2 linked regions of the Arabidopsis thaliana genome follow. The protein of the gene in region 1 interacts with the protein of each later gene in a biochemical or structural test. Each region holds a gene or a part of one and is shown on either strand. Other genes may lie near its edges.

The links. Proteins that work in one complex are often made in the same cells at the same time.
Region 2: the proteins of ICK6 (region 1) and RKP form a complex in vitro, tested with the Arabidopsis thaliana proteins (one study listed by BioGRID).

Annotation. Positions count from the first base shown.
Region 1 is NC_003076.8:19,791,762-19,796,296, forward strand, and holds ICK6 (inhibitor/interactor with cyclin-dependent kinase), read right to left. Parts: upstream 2,648-4,535; 5' UTR 2,586-2,647; coding exon 2,155-2,585; intron 1,973-2,154; coding exon 1,946-1,972; intron 1,190-1,945; coding exon 995-1,189; intron 917-994; coding exon 847-916; 3' UTR 509-846; downstream 1-508. UniProt on the Arabidopsis thaliana protein: Binds and inhibits CYCD2-1/CDKA-1 complex kinase activity. May target specifically CDKA-1.
Region 2 is NC_003071.7:9,363,462-9,371,209, forward strand, and holds the start of RKP (uncharacterized protein), read right to left. Parts: upstream 6,001-7,748; 5' UTR 5,662-6,000; intron 5,483-5,661; 5' UTR 5,368-5,482; coding exon 3,883-5,367; intron 3,772-3,882; coding exon 2,965-3,771; intron 2,853-2,964; coding exon 2,692-2,852; intron 2,562-2,691; coding exon 2,423-2,561; intron 2,253-2,422; coding exon 2,169-2,252; intron 2,060-2,168; coding exon 1,778-2,059; intron 1,700-1,777; coding exon 1,568-1,699; intron 1,405-1,567; coding exon 1,205-1,404; intron 1,121-1,204; coding exon 907-1,120; intron 833-906; coding exon 485-832; 3' UTR 1-484. UniProt on the Arabidopsis thaliana protein: E3 ubiquitin-protein ligase that promotes the ubiquitination and proteasomal degradation of KRP1 and KRP2.

The DNA of each region.
Region 1 (4,535 bases):
CACCATGTCCATATGTATAAATGTATAATATAATGAATGTATCTGAACGTTTCATGCATTCACTTTTTCACTTTTAGAGATTAAAGAAAAACATAGAACAATGATTGGGTTCGAGATAAGATTTCACAGTTTCATCACACTGGTTTTGCCAATTTCCAAGAAATGTAAAAAAAAAGATAAAACAACAGAGATCTTCTCAATGAACACTGTCTCATCTTTTTGTCAGTTTCTTGTTAATAATAATTTGATATTCAAGATTCAAAACACTCTTATCTCTTTACTAATTAGTACAAAATTCACCTTTGTGTTTGTACTTTTAACTCTGAACTTACATTACAGTATTTCAATGTAAACGTCAAAGTATTTACACACACATTCACGTGCGTCATAATTATGGTAAGAGAAGAAAAGGGACCAATCTTGTATAGTTGAAAGAAAAAGGATATGATTCAGATTTTTACACCTACCAAAATTCACACGTGAACCTCTCAATTGGGTCTCTTTCTTCTGCATCTGAATCATTTTTTTCACTATATGCCAAGCTTAAACATGTTCACACACATCCCTCTCAATCATCATCATTACATATAGCTTTGAATAAACATGAGAGATAGATAGAAAAACAAACACTTGAAAGAAACAGATGAGAAAATTTCACTAAGCATCTGAAGAAGATTAGTAGTACAAATGGTGTGAGGTTTTAAGGTCCCTAAGCTACTCTCAAACTTGTTCTCTAACCACATTATTACTTAAGATTACACGATTTCTGATGTTTGGTTAGTCTGTTAACTCCATCACATTCTCTAACTTCACACCATGTCTTTTGGAGCTGTTTCCTTTTGAACTTCATGGTTTGACTTGCACCCATTCGTAACGTCCGCTGAGGGGGATATCATTCACAATGTCGAAGTTGTACCTGAAGATTATTGAAAACACATGAGTGTTGTTCACCCTCTTCGTAATGACACAAAAATAAAATAAAGAATAAGCTTACTTCTCCATGAATAGCCTCTGTTGCTGCTGCTCTGCATATGCAAAGAACTCCTCCATTTCACTAGTGGTCGGGATCACGTTATCTTGTTCCCTTGTGTACTCTTTGGTTGCTCTGCACATCGACCTCGTGCTAGACCCTGGTGTAACCATGATCTCCATATCCTCAACAAAGTTACAAGGCGTGCTCTCCCTTGTGCTGCAGAAAAAAACACAGATAAAATAACTTCAATAACATTATCACCACAAAGACACTTAACCAAATCAAGAATCAAACCAAAACCAAACATCCAGAATAAAAAAGAGGCTTGGTTTAAGTAAACAACAAAAGCTAGAGACTTTCTAAGTAATATGGTCCCATAAGATAATAAATAACAAAGAGAAGGCAATCACCACATTGTCAACTAGCAGCAGGACGGTTACCCCAAAAAACAGAGGATCCTACAAAAGTATTCCCCAAGTATGCAAAAACCACTAGGTCCCATGAACATGACACCACAGTACTTGCATTACACTTATGAGGAAAGTCCCAATTCTCATATAATCTTACATATTAAAAGTTTCTGACCTTTATACAACAACCCACTTTTGTAAAAACGAAAACCATGTGTTTAAGTAAACCCCCAATAACCAAATCCCAATATTGTATACCCAATGTACAAATACTTCTTATGCCATTAGCCTAATAACAAGGAGAATCAACATGTTCTTAAACAAATTAAAATACACAAAAACAGATCAGAGTTTCACCAAATTTGTAACAAATAATGAAATACATATATAAAACGAAAATAGCTTTGACACATTCATTGATAATCTCTGCAATGAAGTACACATGGGACATACAGCAATAAATCAGATATAATGTAAATCTAACACCAAAAGAGACTTATACGGAGAAGTAGTAATAACAAAATTCAGTACATCACAAGAGAGTCAATTCATAAACAAAAACCAAACCAATAAGGGAAACATAAAAAACCTATTTTTCTCTTGTACTAAACTATTTTCATCCCCCAAAAAAAAAAAAATTGATTTGAAGCAAACAACAAAAGTTTCAGAGAAACCTAACTAAGATTCAAAACTATGTAAGACTCAAAACTAAGATTATTGGATAAGACAGAACACAAAAGTCGAATTGGTAATAAGAAAACATTAGGGCACAAAAAAAAAAAAAAAAAAACAACGAACCTGTGTCTTGATTCAAAACCGAGACTGTTTTCACCACAAGAAACTTGGACACTCACGAAATTGTCAAAACATTCATCTTCATTAGAGCTCTGAGCTACAGGAACCGAGTTAACCGAGTCAACGCGAGACCTGGAACCAGACTCTTTAATTCCCGATCTGTGAACTCTCGGCGGCTGTTTCGGTTCAATCAGCGAAGAGGGTTTCTCGAGACGGCGGCTACGGAGCTGAAGATAGCAAGAAGAGTCGTTAGGTAGAGCTGAATCAGCGGCGGAGGAATTAAGCCGCTTCAAGGCTAGGGTTTTAGCGGCTCTGGTTCGAACACCTGGACTTGGAGCTGTTGCTTTAGAGACTTCCATGACGCTGATATCGCCAGTTATCTTTGATTTCTTCATGTATTTCCCCATTTTTTGAGAGAGGGAAAAGAAGCTTGAAAGCGGAAAGAGAAAAATGAGAGGGAAAAGCTTTGAGGGAGGAGAAGAAGAGGGAAAGTGAGAAAATGGGAAAAAGGTTTTCGAGTTTTGTGGGGTTAAAATAAAACAAAGGAGAAGAAAAAAAAAGTTTACCTTTTTTATCTAATTGTCAAAAACAATATTATTATTATTATTATTTTTAAATAAAACCCCAAACTCATCATTATTATTTGTATTTTCCGTTGTGTTTTCACTTTTCATAGAATAATCGTCAGTTTTACATTTTTGATTTATTGATAATTTTTGTTGTCGAATAAATTTAAATTCATCATTTGACTAAATCTTTAACTTCTTAAAAATTAAACTGCTAATTAAATTCATCATTTGACTACGAATTTTCTATTAAATATAACGTGTATTGCATACGGCTTTTCTATTTTAAAATAAATTCTCATTAATATGATCGGTTTGTTGTTAAAAAAACAATTTTCATTTATTTAAATTTTATCAAATAATTTCATCATAAAAAGTATTGAATTTTTTTTATTGAAACCATATAAACTTAATAGTACATACTTTTAACATGTAACAACAAACAACTAGTTACATACATTCACATAGAATAAAAAATGTTTATACGAAAAATAAATTATTATTATGCACACGAATAAATATTCAACTTAAGTATTTAAACATAATATTTTTTCTTTGAAATTGACAGACTTTTTCCAAAAAATCGAGTCAACGGAAATTGCACCAAAAAATTGCTAAGTTTACAATTTTGGTATATAATGATTTTTATTTCTCAATTTAACAAAAATAAATCTAGGACTATTTTCCATAGTTAAATTACCCTTTGAACCAACGCGTATTACACACGGCTTTTTTTGTTGGATATACATGTTTCTTTTAAAATAATGATTTATTATTTATCATTTTTATCAAATATATTAATCATAAAAATTATTGAAATCATATAAAGTTAATAGCCCATACTTTTTCATTGTATATCAATAAATCAGTAGTTAAATACTTTCACATATAAGAGAAAATATTTATGTAAATTAGTAATTATTCTTACATTATGCACACTAATGAATATTAAACTTACATATTAAACATGATATTTTTAAAAATACATTGATAAGAATTGTTTCAAATTTCTAGTCAACTGACATTTCACAAAAAATCACCAATTTTTGTATATCATTATCTATATTTCTCGATTAAATAGAAAAAATCCGGGATTTTTTCTTTATAAAATTACCATGTGGACCCATAATTTATATATTTTCTATCTTTTAAAATCAATTAGTCAATCAATCATTATTACATACAAAAGTTTCACAATTTTAAGTTTTAACACGCATTGTACACGATAACATGGCTTCTACATCACATAAATATATGATCCGACAATAGTTTACAAAGAAGAAAATAAACAATTTCTTATTTACCTTAAAACATAAAATAATAAAAAATCAATATGATTTAATAAAACATGTTGATCGAAAATTCCATGGAGATTGTTGTAAAAACCCTAAAGAGACGTCTACATATACACATCAGCTACTAGTGATGATTGCTTCTTGTGATGAATTTTGATTCATTGGCATTTTATGTGGTATATGCAAAGAAAGGTATGATTTCAGTAATAAATTTTTGATCTAGGGACAATTTTCAATATTAATCCTCATTTGTTTGCTAACAACATTTATTATGCGGATATAATCAAAATGTATGTGACAATTGGGCCGCGCGAAATATAAAATACCAATCAAAACCTTTAGGAAGGAATCATCTGCAACATGTTACTACGGAGAAATGCAAGCTGGAACGAGGCAACAAAGATGAAGGTATGTATCCCACCATTATAAATTAAAATCAAATTATAATTCGGATTATACGTATCCGTAAATTCATTCTCTGGATCTGGATTCACCT
Region 2 (7,748 bases), on another chromosome or scaffold:
AAACATACATTATGCAAAGAAATTTGAGAAAATTAAATAAAATACAACAAATAAAACTTATTGAACCAAAATTTTATCAGATTTTTTTAGTTTAATGAGATCCTATAAATTTGGATTTTGAGAGTATTAAGTGAACAAAAAAACAAGTGTAAGTGAACCTAATTACGAACCGGGTAACCGATTTACTGGTTTAACCCACCAAATCCGCTGTAATTCCAAAACACACTGTTGAGAAAAGTAAGAACCCAAGCGAAACAGAGAGCCTTTAAATAATTTCCATTTCATTCTCATATATACAAGAAAAAAGAGAGGCCTAGAGATCACAAGACCAGGTCTACAAAATTATCACAGACCTTTGTTTGTTTGTGTTTTTTCTTATTTATCCTATAAATCTATATAATCCTTCTTCCTTTGCTCCCATCCTAAAGATCTTTCCTTCTGTGTCTACTACATCAACAACCTGTAACCGCAACTAACCCGAGCTTCATGTGCTTCTTTTGTGACCATCATCGTCTTCTTCTTCTTCTTCTTCTTTATCTCTTATAACATCTATCACCGTAGCATTGCAGAAAAAACATCTCTGACAGTTGAGAAGATGTCTAGTTATGCAGCCATAACATGATCGATGTGAACACGGAGCAATCATTGCATTAGCCTCCCCCGCGTAGCAGATACAGCAAGTGTTGTCTTCTATATCTGTCGTGTCTTTGTTGAATGACTCTTCTTTTCTTTCGGGTTCTTGCGATGAAGCCCGGTTTATGAGATGGCTCAAGAAGTTCTCAAGCTGTCCAAGTTTCTTTACATAGGCATCATCCCCGCTTACACAACCGTCCTGAAAATGTTTTTGAAAAGCTGTGTCAGTAGGAGAAGCAAACGAGCAGAAACTAGATTTAAGAGCTTACGTACCCAATTATATTCCAAGAGATACTGAAACCCGTAATAGACTGTATCGGGACAGTCCATGCTTGCGAAAAGACCAATTACATCATGTTGTTGCTTTGGTTTTGAGTCTTCACTAGCCTCCAAGAGATTCAAGATTATACCAACCAAAGGAGCTAATAAGATCCCTCGGCTAACTTTCTCTGAAGGTTGTCCCTGCCGTCTAAGTGACCTGACAGATCTCAAAACAAGAAGAAAACAATATCAATTAAAAATTAGCGATTTCCAACAAAGTTAGAGCTATTTGGGATATTTTTGAACTTACAGATCAAAGAACTCGTCATCTACTGCTGAGGTCATGTGATTCAAGATGAAAAGAATCAACTCAGTGAGCCTACGAAGATTCGTGTCAGTCCCAGCAAGAAATGCTTGTGGCATTGCGTAAGTGCAGAATTCTAAGACCCTTGCGAGATTGCTTGAAAGCTCAAATATCACACAACATTTCCTTTGCTGAAACTCCATTACCTGCATAAAGACAAGACGAATCAAAAACCGGACAAAGAAGCAAATAGAGTACTACAAAAACTTGTAAGGGAAATGCAGAATAAGAACCACAATCATTCAGGGAAAACTATTCAATTACTACGAAAACTTAATCGATGAAAATGATCCAAGCTTATAATCTGACCTGATACTTTTCTTGCATTTCTCGCACCGAGACAGAAAATTCAGTGATGGTCCAGCTCAGTGTGTTGAATAGACGGTTAAGAAAAGTAGAAAGTAATTCACCATCATTGATACAAGCATCTCGTAGAAGCGCCTAGACGAAAAAGAAAATCAAAATCCAATATGTAGACTGAGGATCAGATAGGAACAAAGTCAAATCAATCTAACCAACCTGGAAAACAGTAGACGAAAACGAAGACTCTCCGTTCTTTAAAGAACTAAACCCAGAACCTTTGCAAAGACGAAGAAATATATTTGTGACAGGGATCCAAGATCTGTTGTCAAACGCTGCCAGTAGTGCTGCAGGCATGTGTCGAGTAGCTGCCTCATTGTTCTCGAAAGCTTCCAAGTACTCTTTGTACTGTACCAGGACGGATATTGACTGGAGAAGTAGATCTTTAAGATCTGTATTCGATATCCTTGAATCGTTGAAGTGTGTAACTACGAAAGTGATCTGGAAACCCAAGAATTTGCAATGACCATGTTAGAGCTAATCAACTAACAGTCAGCCATGAGGAAAAATAACAGACAAAAAAGATTGTGTGATAAGAGTTTAGGCATACAAATGATGAAAGTCCTTGTTTGATGAATGTTGTTGATGGGACAAACGGAGGATCGCTCTTGCGAAGCACATGGAAACAGTCTACCTGAGGAAATAATCAAAGAGATTGTAAACTTAGGGATTTCATTGAGAAACAGAGAAAACGCAACAGAATAAGTTGTTGGAAGATCTACTAACTTTGATCAAAGAGAAACTGAAACATGTTCATTTGACATTTATATCAAGAAGTACCAGAAATGTGCAAAAGCTGTTTACCAAAGATTCAAGGTAGAACTCTGGAATATAAACAAACACAGAATCCATTTTGCTGAGAACCAGAAGTAGCTGTACAACCCACATGCACAATGCATACATTCCCCTTTGCTTCCATCGAGAGAACAATGAGATGCGGAACCTGACAAAATGATTCAGAATGAGGGCAAAAATATAGATTGTAATGTTGCCTCACATGAATCATAACTGAAACCTCTTCACTACACCCTCCTTCTGGAGTTAACGCAATCCATGAGTTAAGTGAAACTTACCATGCGGAATGTCTAACACAGTCCATCACGTCTTCTTTGTAGTTGTTGCGAGCTTCCTTCAAGCGCTTTATTTGGTCACAAGAAGCCCGTTCTCTTATCTGTTTATCAGTTTCTTCAAGAAGTGATATTGATTGCGATTGGTGAGACATGTAATATGATGCCTAAGAAAAGCAGAAAGAGAACCTATCAGCCTCTCAAGCTTATTCAGGTTGTGGTATGTATCGTACAAAAAATACAACAAAATCTAATTAAGACGGGAATAATTAAAATTACCTGCTTAAAATTTGGAGCAACAGCAATATGGTATAATAGCAATAGAGCATCCAATAGTTCTTCTTCGCTTAGTATAGCAGATGAGATTCTACTCTCTTGAAGTGCAGTCCGCATAAATCTTACTGGACGATAACCAAAGTCAGGGTCAGACTGATTACTTGTGCTAGGTTTGTCGTCTATTTCTTCACTGAAACTTCCAGCACTACATTCTGCAGCAACATGAGAGGATCTCTCAGGAATGGAACTGCATCGACCACGAGAACTTTGAGCAGTATTTTTTCCTCGATCCTTCAAGGATTTAGTAAGATCGGTATCATAAGCTAAGCAACAGCATGGCTTTTGCTCAGTCGCGTGAGTTACTCTATTCTGTTCATCATCCATACAACCTTCTTCCCACCGCATTATTTCTTCTTCTTGATCATCTGTGGGGTAGGACTTCGATATATGACTAAATAGCCCGCCAAGCCTAGTAATATCAGCGCGATGTGGATCATTTTTAAGAAACAAACTCAATGGAAACTTCTGCTGACCACCTCTGTGAAGAAAACCAACATTGTGATGGACGGCTTCACTACTCTTCAGCATTGCAAAACCTTCTGACAAGAAGTGGAGTATAACTGAGAACAAAGAGACAAGAACCGAATTGCGTGTAACTCCAGAAGGGGCCAGAGTCCTATCTGCGCCTCTGTTCTTCAATAAAAGGTTCTGTAGGAATCCCCTGAAAGCTGAACCAGGAAGCTGGGGAGGTGATACAGGTGGTATGAATTGTATGACCAAGAGACAGAGGTTCCTCTGCTTCTCCTCAATCTGAATTCCAAGAGAAAGAATTACTTAATTATGTTCCTCAGATTCCAGAGGAGACTTATGCCAGCGGTTATTTATAGAAAAATAAAATAAGTCAGAAATAACCTATCATACCTTGTTAATGGCTTCAGAGAGAGCGGAGATCGTAAATCCCATGCTACTCTCGTAGGATATATCTTCAGAGGATCCAGGCCACCAAACAACAGGCATTAAGTGCTGTAAGTCATGCTTGTTGGAACTCCTGCATGACAAGAAACCTTCAAACAAAAACTCGAAATGCAAAGATCTCCACCATTGTACCATCAATTCTTCCCGTTTAAACAAATGACAAGCCAGCGCCAGATAGGGATAAGGTCCGGAGTATGGACACTCGGTTAAAATCAGTGTCGCTGTTTTGCAGCCACAAGCCAGAGCGTTTACTACATGCTCAAAGATCAAATGAGATTGTGGGAACTCAAGAAACACATCAAGAACTTTGTCTAAACTTGACGAATCATGCGGTGCTTGAGTTCTGAAAGTCTCCAAGAGGAATGACAGAAATGCACCCCGTCCTAAGTACTCCGCCAACAAAGGGTCTTGCTCAAGTATATAAAAGAACTCATCACATATGGCAGACGAAACAGGGCAAAAGAGTTCTTCGACTGAGGCAAATCTCCTCAGTCGACTTAATGTATCAGCCAATGAGCGGTCTGGCCTATCCAGCAGTCTTGAGAAGCATCGTAGTAGCTCTGTTGCAAATGAAAATCGAGTTGGAGCTTCTTGAAGAGGTTGGAAACCGTCAACAGGGTACTTAAACGGGTAAGCGCCGAAATTTAACTCGCATCTCTCACCTTGGGAGAGAGATATAGCAGGGTAATACCCAAATCCAGGTCCAAGTTTTCTAATACCAGTAAATGCAGCCCCGAGGGAGACACCATTCCTGTAGAAGTAAATCTCATCACAGTTCAAATCTATGCAGCAACCGATGACATCCCCAGCAACCCATGATTGACCATAAGGTTCAGCTTCCTTGTTCCATTTGCTTACCCTTCGACCATCAAAAGCATATGAATCATCAGCATCACCCACACCTTTCTGGTCAGTGAAAGGGCAAGCAAGTGTTGCCCATCCAAGTTGTTGAATTCCCGAGGTCTCTAAAGCGACTTCATACATCCATTTTCCTTTCCAAATACAAGCATTAGCCCTGGCGCTACTGAAAAGTGCTAAGCTCTCCAATACAAGAGGTGGCTTCACAATCCTGATATCACCACATATGCTAAACTCTTCAAGGCCAACAATAGGAGGTCCAACACCATGATGAACTACACTGATTCCTTCTCTCTGACTAACTGAAACATCCAAATCACCATGAAGCTTCGAGAACTGATTCTTAATCACAGCTCTAATCAAGCTACTGTCTACTTGACCATCCAATGGACCAACCGACTTTTCTGCTAAACCAAATATGAATTCGATAGTCCGTTCTAAAGGCCGGTGACCAGAATAATCAAAATGTGGAACAATACGAGCTTTCGAGGAATTTTCTTTAGCATCTTCACCATTCAGTAAAACAGCCAAACCAGATGAAATCATACCAACCCGTAGGCTGTCTTCAGCCATATGGCATTGATTGTGAACCAAACGCGCTTTCAACACAACCAATTACAAGAGAACCAAAGTCTGTATCTATTCAACGAGACCTCATCAGAGACAATTCGAAAATGATTCAGAAAAGCTGTGAAGAGAAGAAGAACAAAAAAAAAAGTAGCATAAGTTTCCAAAAATCAATACTTGAATCAAAAAGCTTTCAAATTTATGTGATGAACAGGGATTAACAAAAAGAGAAAGCTATTCAATTTCAATCAATTAGAAAGAAAAAAACACCAAAATCAGAACGGAAAATTCGAAACTCACCGGAGAAATTGACATGAAAAGCGATTAACCCAGAAGCCAAAATCAATCAATACCCAGATTCTTCAAACCAAAGACGGCGGACTTGTGCTAGGGTTTTTCAAATAAATTAAACAGGAGAAGACTTTTCGCTTCTTTTTTTTTCTTCTTCTTCCTCGAAGAGAGAGAGAGAGAGAGATTTTGCGCCCAATATTTTTGGGGGAACAGAGAAGAAGAATTGAAGAAAGAGAGAGAGAGGAATCAGAAGACCGGTGGCTAACACCGAACGAGCCAATGGATCATGTGGCGTGTGGGTTTTTTACCGACACGTGTCGGTGTCGATGACGTGGCTGATGACGTATTATATCGACGGTCTGGTCTGGTAACTTTTATAGAAGGAGAAGGAGGAAAGTTTACGATGCGGACGGTCTTACGTTTATTTTGACACGTGGCGTAGTAGATGTTAACGTGTTCTTAAATCAAATTACAAAATTACAAAAAGTAAACAACGCTTTTTAATTTTTCTCCTTCTGTTTTCTTTTTTAGTGTTAACATTATGAGATTTGTTTTACTGAAGATATTTCCTGTTATTTGGATTAATCAAAAATAACAAAAAAAAAGGTGCTGTAAAACTTAGCAATTTAAAGGTAAAGTTAAAAGAATGTTAGTATCACCACTAACTAAAGAAAAAATCACAAAAATAATATGGTATTGTTTGAATATTCTTTTTTTTTTCATTTTAGTGTTAGTATTATGAGATTTTCGTGTAAAATTTTTGCTAAAAACATTGTTAAAAAAAATTAGTTTTGTTTATCGCTTTTAAATAGTTATTATTTTTAGTTTAAAAAAAAAAAATATTATTGTTTATTATCAAAGATGATTTGGTTTCGACTACCCGTGAAATTTTCGAATGTGATTACAGTTGTCGAATAGCGTATTTACTGTATTTTATTTAAGTGGATCTAAAATATGATATAATTATGATTAATCTAAAAAGAAATGTAAATTTAAGTTATATATCACTTTTGTAAATAATTTCTCTCGGAATTATTTTTTTTAAGTCCTTAATAATATCTTATGACAAAAAAAAAAATATGAATCTAGTTATCAGGTTTCCTTGGTAAAGAAAAATTTAGATGTAAGTTTCCTATTTGTAGATTCTATAATCATAACGGGTTTCACAAACAATTATAATACTGGTATCATTCGTTGACAAGAACTAATAATAATCTGGAGTTGACTTAATTAGAAAACTTTATTTGTAAATCAATTGTCAAAAGCCATTCGTATATTCTTAATACATTATGCAAATTAAAGAAGAGTGTTACTATAATGTATGCACGAAAACTATTCAAGTGGATGTAAAGACGATTGAAATCGACGGAACGTGACGGAGCAGTTGTTGACAAGTCACCGGAGCTTTTGCAAACTTCCGATAGACACACGACCTTGTCAACGACCTGAGAGTATAAATAATTGAAAATATCAACTCGATCTCTAAACACACCACGTGGAAAGCTATGAGACCACTGTCGGCTAATGACTAATAAAAGAAGTATCGTGCACGTGTTCCACGTTGATCAACAGCCACTTCACTGGCTGATGTCTCTGTTATTCAGATAGTGACTTAAGACGGCATTATATTGTCTTCAAGGGAAATATTAAAACGCTGCGTTTCCGTGTGATGGAATAATTTTGCAACCGTTGCCACTTTTACTTTTGGGAATTTGGTTGAACAGCAACTTGTTTTTTTTTTTTTGGTAAATATTTTTGGTTGAACTTGTCATTCAATGTAGCAAAACTTAGTAAAAATGCTACAAAACATAAAGATTTTCAAATGTGCCAAACCTCAGCTCTATGGACGATTTCCCTGTTCTAACTATACTAAAATGCATAGTTTTGGTGTAGTGATTAACAAAAATATGTATGGAATATAATCATGATGATAATGATAATGGTAAGATTATGCTTTTACTTTTGATTAAAAGCTAGTGATATGATTTGCCTCTTAATTTGAGTAGATGATTTTCAATGTTTGGTACTATTTTCATTGTTTTAGTGGGAAGAAAACAAAGAGATTTGGTGTTCAATGTAGCGTTAGTTAAGTAGAT